Oryzias latipes: one gene and its partner. The main gene of each other region encodes a partner of the protein of the gene in region 2 in a complex. Links are inferred from orthologs where the notes say so. Each region holds a gene or a part of one and is shown on either strand. Other genes may lie near its edges.

What was found. Proteins that work in one complex are often made in the same cells at the same time.
Region 1: strn3 (region 2) and pdcd10 share a complex: the UniProt entries of both Homo sapiens proteins name them as parts of the core of STRIPAK complex. The link is inferred for Oryzias latipes from reciprocal best matches to the Homo sapiens genes STRN3 and PDCD10.

The regions. Positions count from the first base shown.
Region 1 is NC_019880.2:9,003,863-9,007,515, forward strand, and holds part of pdcd10 (programmed cell death protein 10), read right to left. Parts: intron 2,828-3,653; coding exon 2,701-2,827; intron 1,751-2,700; coding exon 1,672-1,750; intron 1,599-1,671; coding exon 1,516-1,598; intron 1-1,515. UniProt on the Homo sapiens protein: Promotes cell proliferation. Modulates apoptotic pathways. Increases mitogen-activated protein kinase activity and STK26 activity. Important for cell migration, and for normal structure and assembly of the Golgi complex.
Region 2 is NC_019880.2:2,602,521-2,606,599, forward strand, and holds the start of strn3 (striatin-3), read right to left. Parts: upstream 2,817-4,079; 5' UTR 2,556-2,816; coding exon 2,319-2,555; intron 406-2,318; coding exon 302-405; intron 1-301. UniProt on the Homo sapiens protein: Calmodulin-binding scaffolding protein which is the center of the striatin-interacting phosphatase and kinase (STRIPAK) complexes.

The DNA of each region.
Region 1 (3,653 bases), about 6.4 Mb from region 2:
CAACGCGCCGCACCACGTAACAAATAGTCCGCTTTTTGTGAAAAAAGCAATCCAAATCGGGACAAAAACAAGAATTAAAGACTAAAAACTGGTTAAGATTTATTTCTTTTGTAAGTGACTATGGCCTTCAAAGTGTGCATTATCACTTTTTTATTAAATCTTGTAGAGATTTCTTTCACAGATTAAGATATTTCTAGTGTTTCCTAATGCTAACAAAAAACCTAAATGTTTGTATCTAAAAATTGTTATTTAAGAAAAAGTAAAGACTCGATTTGATGAATGAGGTGGAAAAGCAGATTTGCAGCGAGACAATCAGTCTGTGGATGTGCTAAAGTCCAGGTTGCTCTGATCCAGGCGTTTTCTCAGTGGTTGGGTGTGGCGTCTCTCATTTCCTCTTTTCAAAACTTCTCAGATTGTCTGTTAAATTTAGATCAGCTGAGTTTGCTAAACAATATCCAATCCAGGGTTTGGTTCAGCTGGGGAAAAAGAAAATCAGTAGAAGGGGGTATGAAGAACTCTACAACATCGTGTAGATGGCATGGCTCCTCAAACCACCTGCAAGTGAAGAACCTCTACAATCAACCTTAAACTACGAGGACTCTGTCTTCTTTCTCCAGACTCTGGGATCTTCATGTTTCAAACTGTCCTTTCCTCTGACCTAATCCAAAGAATGTGATGGTTGCAGTCCATGTCCTACATCCTGAGGTGGCTCTTCCATTCCACAATTAGCCAGCCTCTTGTTAAGCTTTCTAAAACGTCTCCACTTTGCATGAAGGAGACAGCACTCTGTGAGAAACCAGCTTCTTAAGCAACGAGCTGGCGTGTCTTACCTAGCTGGTGAGGGGAGTCACTGATCATCATCTGGTCAAGTCCAACAAACTCCTCCAGACTGTTATCAACCATTTAGAGGCTAAGAAATCCGAAGTGTGACAGTACAACACTTCAAAATCAAACTTCTGTTGCCGTAGTTTCTGAAGAAGTGAATTAGGGTTGTACCGATCGGGATGTCAGTCAGTCATCACGATGGACGATTTCATCAAATCGAGTCTTTCATCGTGGATGAGTCATTAGTTGGGAAATAAAATAAATTAAGTAATAAAGTAAAATCACAAATAATAATTGTATAATAACGAAAAATTAAAAATACGGGGGGTGAATCTGCTGCAAAAGGTCAGCATCAAAACTACAAACATGAAACAATCATAATTGTGATAAACAGAAAAAGAATAAATGAATTAGTCTGAGAGCTATCAGGGGATGGTATCATACAGTCTGTCCTTTTTTTCCCTCTTCTTTTTCAGGTTACAACTAGTAAATCAAAAATATGAAGACTTTGTTTAAAATATATATCCCTGATTTAAAAAAAATCTTCCATTTTTAAAACGTAATCCGACATTCGTGTGTATTCATAAATCTGAAGGCTTGACAATCAAACTCGTGGATGGACTCATTGTGAGATAAGAAATGGGTCATATATAACCCGAACTTGTCTGTCAGTGTTAAGTTCACACTTACTTTCCGTCTTTGAAGTATATTTTGAGGGTGTCGCTGAAACTCTTGGAGTATTTCACAAACTCCCTTTTCTGGTTCTCCAGAGCCTTGAAGAGAAGAAAAACCTTTAGAAACGAAGCTTTTGTGTTGACCGGCTGTCTTCTGGGGTTCCTGACTTACCCTGCGGTTCTGGTACTGATATTTCTTAATGACGTTGTTGACCGTATCCAGGAGCTCTTTGATGGCGCTGGCTATGTCTCTGTGAATTACAGTTAATACAGATTTAAATACAGGAAAAGTAAAAAGCGCATTTAAAGGAAGTATTTAAATGCATTTCATAAATTTCACAAAAACAAATCTTTTTTTACCTCCATGACGCATTTCCCTAAACGACTATATCTGTCCAACAAACAATTAAAAAATATAAAGCCATAAATTAGGTCAAATTCCCCTTTATTTTATTTTTTTATGAATTTGTTGAAAGACCTGGATTTGCCTTAAACGTTTGCTTCCACCTTTGATCATCCAAGAAAAGTATGATATCCTAACTGTTTCCTTGAAAGATGATTAGAGAGTGAATTATTATAAAATTCAGGTCCCCCTGCCAGGACTCGAACCGGGGGCCTTCTTGCTGTGAGGCAAGAGCGCTAACCACTGCGCCACCGTGCAGCCAAAAAAATATAAAAGGCATGAAAAAAAGAGTTTAATGTAAATTCAGAAAGTTATTACAAAAAAAGTATTAAAACTTGCAATACCCAAAAAAAAAATAATAAAAAAAAAAAAATACCCAAAATAAATAAGAGTCACTTCCGACTTTTCTTCTACAGAAGAAAAGTCTTATTTATATAGCGTATTAGTATACATTTTAAATATATAATATATATTTGAAATATATAAGTATTTCAAATATTTGTTATATATTTGAAATATATAACAAAAGCCTTTCAAAATAGAGCCAGAGGATTCAATGACCCAAAGCCTCACTAGAATCTCTACATTTCATTAAATTGTGTTTTTAGATGAAGTTTTTTTTTCTAAGGCTTGTGCCTGTAATTTAAAGATGGATTATTCAATACTGATACAAATTTGGAGTCCAAAGAGAAAACCATTTGGTTCTGCATGCACTCTGATTCTCCTGCAGATCACCACTGAGACTGGGAATTGTGGGGGGTTGATTGCTTTAGCTTTCATTCTGCTGCTCGCACTCACTTGATAGTTTGTAGGAAGCGTACTCTGTCGTTGATCTCATCTGGGATTTTGCTAAGGATGTGCTTCAGAGCTCGGGCCTTCTCGTTCAGGTCCTGGAACTCCTGTTCGGGCCGGTCAATCATGAACTCTGCAGCGAAGGGGAATTGAACACACATTTCCAGTAAGTTACTAAATAAATACCTGGAGGAACTTCAGAAAAGATTTACATAGAAGGAATGTATTCAGAACTCTTAAAGACAAAGAAAGGTGTTTTTTTTTCCCTTTTGGGTATCTGAAGCACAGAAATGATGTCTATTGTATTTCAAAGAACTGCTGTTGTGGGAAACTCCTGATTATAATTCAAGGTGTCCTTATCAAAGCATTTCAGGATTAAGGACATTCAGCTGAACGTGTGCAATACAGTTACCACTGTGTCACTAGTTTTATGAAATAAAGTCCAAGCAACTAACTAATTTTGAATGATAGATGTTAGAAACATGACTGTTGCTTTCTTGCAAATGGTTAAAAAAAACAGCTGAAAATGTAAAATTTCAAAGGGGTTTACCTTTAAAATCACTACAGAATGATGGTGCCATCAAGACTAATACAGCAATATTAATGCGTCATTCAAACCCGAATGCAGGTATTCAATTTGGTGAATTTTTGGCTCCCCAGAGCTTCCGTAGCGTTTGTTTCACACGGCAGTATGGCAAGCGACAAACAACAACATCATAGCACAGACGAAACAGCAAGCCACAGCATGGCTACCAGTGAGAGTGGGAAGTTTGATCCCAAGACAGGAATAAAATCATCTGTTGTTTGGAACTGGTATGGGTTTGCTGCCACAGACGTGGAGGGAGAGACCCCATGCTGCAACATTTGGCTAAAGCCCATCGCAGTCCCGCAGCGTGCTGACACACATACACATTCTACAACACCTATATAGTTAGTTCATTGGCTAAATAGTAGATAGT
Region 2 (4,079 bases):
CAAAGAGAAAAATCTTAATCCTTTTAATATAAAATTCTTGTTTTTAAAAGATGAAAATGATTTTAACCACAAGGGGAATCAACTTTAAGCTTGGGTCAAGGTTTTTCACATTGATTCTGACCTGAAACTTGTTTTTCTGCTATGAAATCACTTCCAAACGAACCTAATTCTCTGTTCGTAAAGTGAAGCATTCCCTCTGGATTTTAGTCGTTTTCCTGTTTGAAGGCAGAGATTTTTTTTTCTTTGGTCTCAAACATTTAGATGATAAAATGAATAAATTGAGATGAGTCGGGGTTCCTACCTTTCCTGTTTTAAAGCATATTCTAACATCTTGATTCTTCGAACCAGATCGTTCTTTAGGTTCTCCTGGCCCTTCCTCTCCCCCTGCAGGAACGCTATCCGGGCCTGGAAAGACGCAGAACAGAAACAAATGTTTCAAAACTCTTATGTACACAAAAATATTGTGTCAAGAAAACAACCGAGTCACTTCCAGAGAAACCAAATCCTCCTGGATCTTCTCTTTATGATAGGTTTCTGAAAGATATGGGAGTCACTCTTTAAAGATTGTTTACATGGTTGTTGAGTTGAGTGAGGTCATGTGACACCTACATGAATCAGACACTGGAAAGGAGGTTCGGTGAGCAGCTCAGCCTAAATGTATGGCGATGACAAACCAGACAGAGTTCCTGTGAGTCATCGGGAGCTTCTCAACACCCCTGACCAAAACAGCACATGTGGGCTGCAGTTATTCAACCACGTCACCTCATTAAAACGCCACTGTCGTTGTGTCAGTACAGCTATTTAAGACCGACGACGTCACACTGTCAGAGTTTTGCTCTGAATTCATGTCCAGAGGAGCAAAACGTGGCTCTGGAAGCTGGAAGATACAATACAATTGATTTTTTTTTTACATTTATTTTTGGCTTTTTGAGGTTGCTGTGTAAACATCTAGTGCCATCTAGTGGCAACATTGCAGAAGAACAAAAAGACTTAAAACATGAGGAGGAAAAATTTAATAAAATCTAAAAAATGAAAGAATTCGACAGTTTCTAATAAAAAAAGAATGATTTAAAAACACATTTATTATGTAAAATATTGTGTACATCAATAACAGCGCAGACATAATGCCATAACAGGAAAAAAAAGCATATTTTGGTTAAAACTAACTCCTTTTTCCTCGTTATTATAAACCCACCAGTGTCTCCTTCTGCTTCGTGAGTTAAATTTTAAGGGAATTTAAATATCAAATCTCCAAAAGGGAGATCCATGCAGTTTGATGTGAGAGCCTGACGTTGGTTCAGGGTCACCTACTTCTATAAATATCTGATTGGACCATCCTTTGGGTTGTGACATCACAGACCAGGATCAGAGCAGAATCCTCCGGCCTCTTCATCATCCTCATCCTGGAGACTCACAATACGTTCAATGGCTCTGAGGAGTAACCTTATTGTTCAATGGTGATGAAATGATATCACTACCAACACTCTCATTTTGTTTTTAGCCTTTATTAAAGCGTCCCCCCCCCCCCCCCCCCGACAGAAACATCTCCACAGCTGAGATGATGCCAGATATTCCTTCTAAAAACCCAAAAGGGTCTGCTTCTGTCACACAAACTGAGATGTAGAAGCAGCAGATCTGCTGCTGGACACGGCAAAGCCAACACACACCTGGAGCTCCATGAAGAACATGGAGCAGCTCCAGATCCCGCTTCTCTCATCGGGAAGTCATGTTTGTTTACAGGCTGTTTCCAAGGAGAAATCCACAGACTTCAAATGGAAAATGTACAGGAATTCATGTAAATAAATAAAAAAACTGACAGCAAATAAAGACCTAGAATGCAGGAGATCTTCCAGAGGGAGGTGTGACCTGAAAGATGCTTCGCAGCCAACCAGAGAACCAGAAAAAGCCACTTTTCTATGTATAGGTTGATTAAAAAAAACCTCCAGAATCACGGATTTGAATCGGTAAGGTCATTCGTTTAGGGTCGTCTGACTGTCACGAACAACATCTGACCAACATCTGGTCCAAATGTCAAAACAGCACGATTAACGTATCCACGGCGGCTGCAGGCTCCCGATATCTCAGTTGAGCCACGGGCTCCAAAGCTAACGGCCAACGCACTCAGACTCCCGGCTGGATAACAGACCTCCACGCCGGTTACTCGTCCCCCTTGACATGTCAGTGGGGCTCCGGTCGCTACCTTAAATTCACGTTAATACGTATACCGATAAAAGGTTATTTGAGATCCCCGGTGACTGTGGAAAAAAAGAAGCTAACCATGCTAATGCTAAGCAGCTAACCCATAGCGACGGACTAACCTGGAGTTCGGCCCGCTCCACCTCCCAGTGCGCCCTCTCCATTTCGAACCGGGCCCACTCGTGCTGGATGTAGTGTAGAATTCCCGGGATAGTGTACTGCTGCTGTGGCCGGGCTAACTCGTCCGTCTGCTGGGGCACCATGACCGTTCCGATGGGAGGTCCGGAGTTGCTCCCGTGCTGCTGCAGCGGCGGCGGCCGCGGGGAGGCCGCTCCTCCCCCGCCTGGGTGTTCGTCCATATTTCGGGTTTTGTTAGAACGTGCGGCGCCGTTTGTACTTAATGATTAGCTAACCGATTTTAAATATTAAAGAAGGAAAAAAAAAGGCGCCGAAGGCCTCGCGCGTCTCCGCCGGGGTACTTGTCGCGCTGGCACCGCCGCCGTGGAAGAGGCCGGCTGCCCCTGAGCGCTTAGCGGAGAGCGGCGACTTGGAGGCGGTGTTTACGTGTGAGTCTCACCGGCCGCCATCACTGCTGTCCGCCTGGATGTGACGGCTGCGAGGGGGAATCCTGCCGCGCTGCATGCCGGGAAATCCAGACACACATTTAGACCCCAAACCTAAAAATAAAATTACGGAGCCCGTGTCCTGACATTAAGATATAAAAATATATCTTGTTCCCACAGATTAATATCTTGTTCCCACAGGTTATTATGTCGTTCGCACGAAATACTATTCCGTTCCCACAAGATACTTTTCCGTTCCCACAAGATACTATTGCGTTCCCTCAAAATACTATTCCGTTCCCTCGAAATGATTAACTTGTGCGAACGCAATAATTATGTCGTTCGAACGCAATAATTAATCCGTTCGAACGCAATAATTATTCACGTCATAAGTCATTCACGCGGATATGCTCTCTGTACGCCGGCAAAAGCCGCTTTCAGCGGTAACTTCCGTGTCTCTGTGACCCATATTCGTTCAAAAAAGGAACATGAAAAACAAAAATGATCACTTTATTACCGTCTCAATGAATATAAGAAAAATATCAAAAGATTTATGATAACTAGGCTGCTTTGTCAAACGATAGCTCCTGCTAGGCTAGCTCCGCCGCAGAGCTCTCTGTCTGATCATGTATGCCGGCATTTGGGCAACTGGCTGGTCTGTTGTCAGACAGCTGATATTGTAGTTTAGGGTCGAATAGGAATAATAATATTCAGGACTTGTCTTTTATTAACTTTAGCAGTCAGTATTTTTACATTCGAAGGCTATTAGGCTACATGCTAACTGACTAGCCGATCATTTCCTGTTATTAATTTACGTCATAGATTTACAGCAGATACCTTCACATTTCTGTCTGTGTGTGTCTCATTACATTGCATTGAAGACACGGAGGATGTTTAGAGAACAGATTTATTTATTTTATTTATAAAAGCACAGAAGCATCCATCGTTTTCACGTTCACATCTGGTACGCCCTCAGTCATCTTGCTGCAAAAGCCGCTTCCTGCCGCTACTTCCGTGTCTCTGTGAGCATTCAATAGGGGTAAAAATAAAAGCAAGAATGGTCGATCTGTTATTTTCTCGATGAAAATCTGAAAAATATCATATTAAGCTGGATGCTTCGCCTAAAGCACTTACCTTTAGCTTGTAGCATAACAACAATAGCAGTACGTCCCGTTTCCCAGAGTGCTTTGCTGCAAATCACTGGCCAATCATTGGTCTTGTTGTTAGACCTTGGTCACAGGGACACGGTGATTGGCTAGTGATTGGCAGCAAAGCACTCTGGGAAACGGGACGTACTGCTATTGTTGTTATGCTACAAGC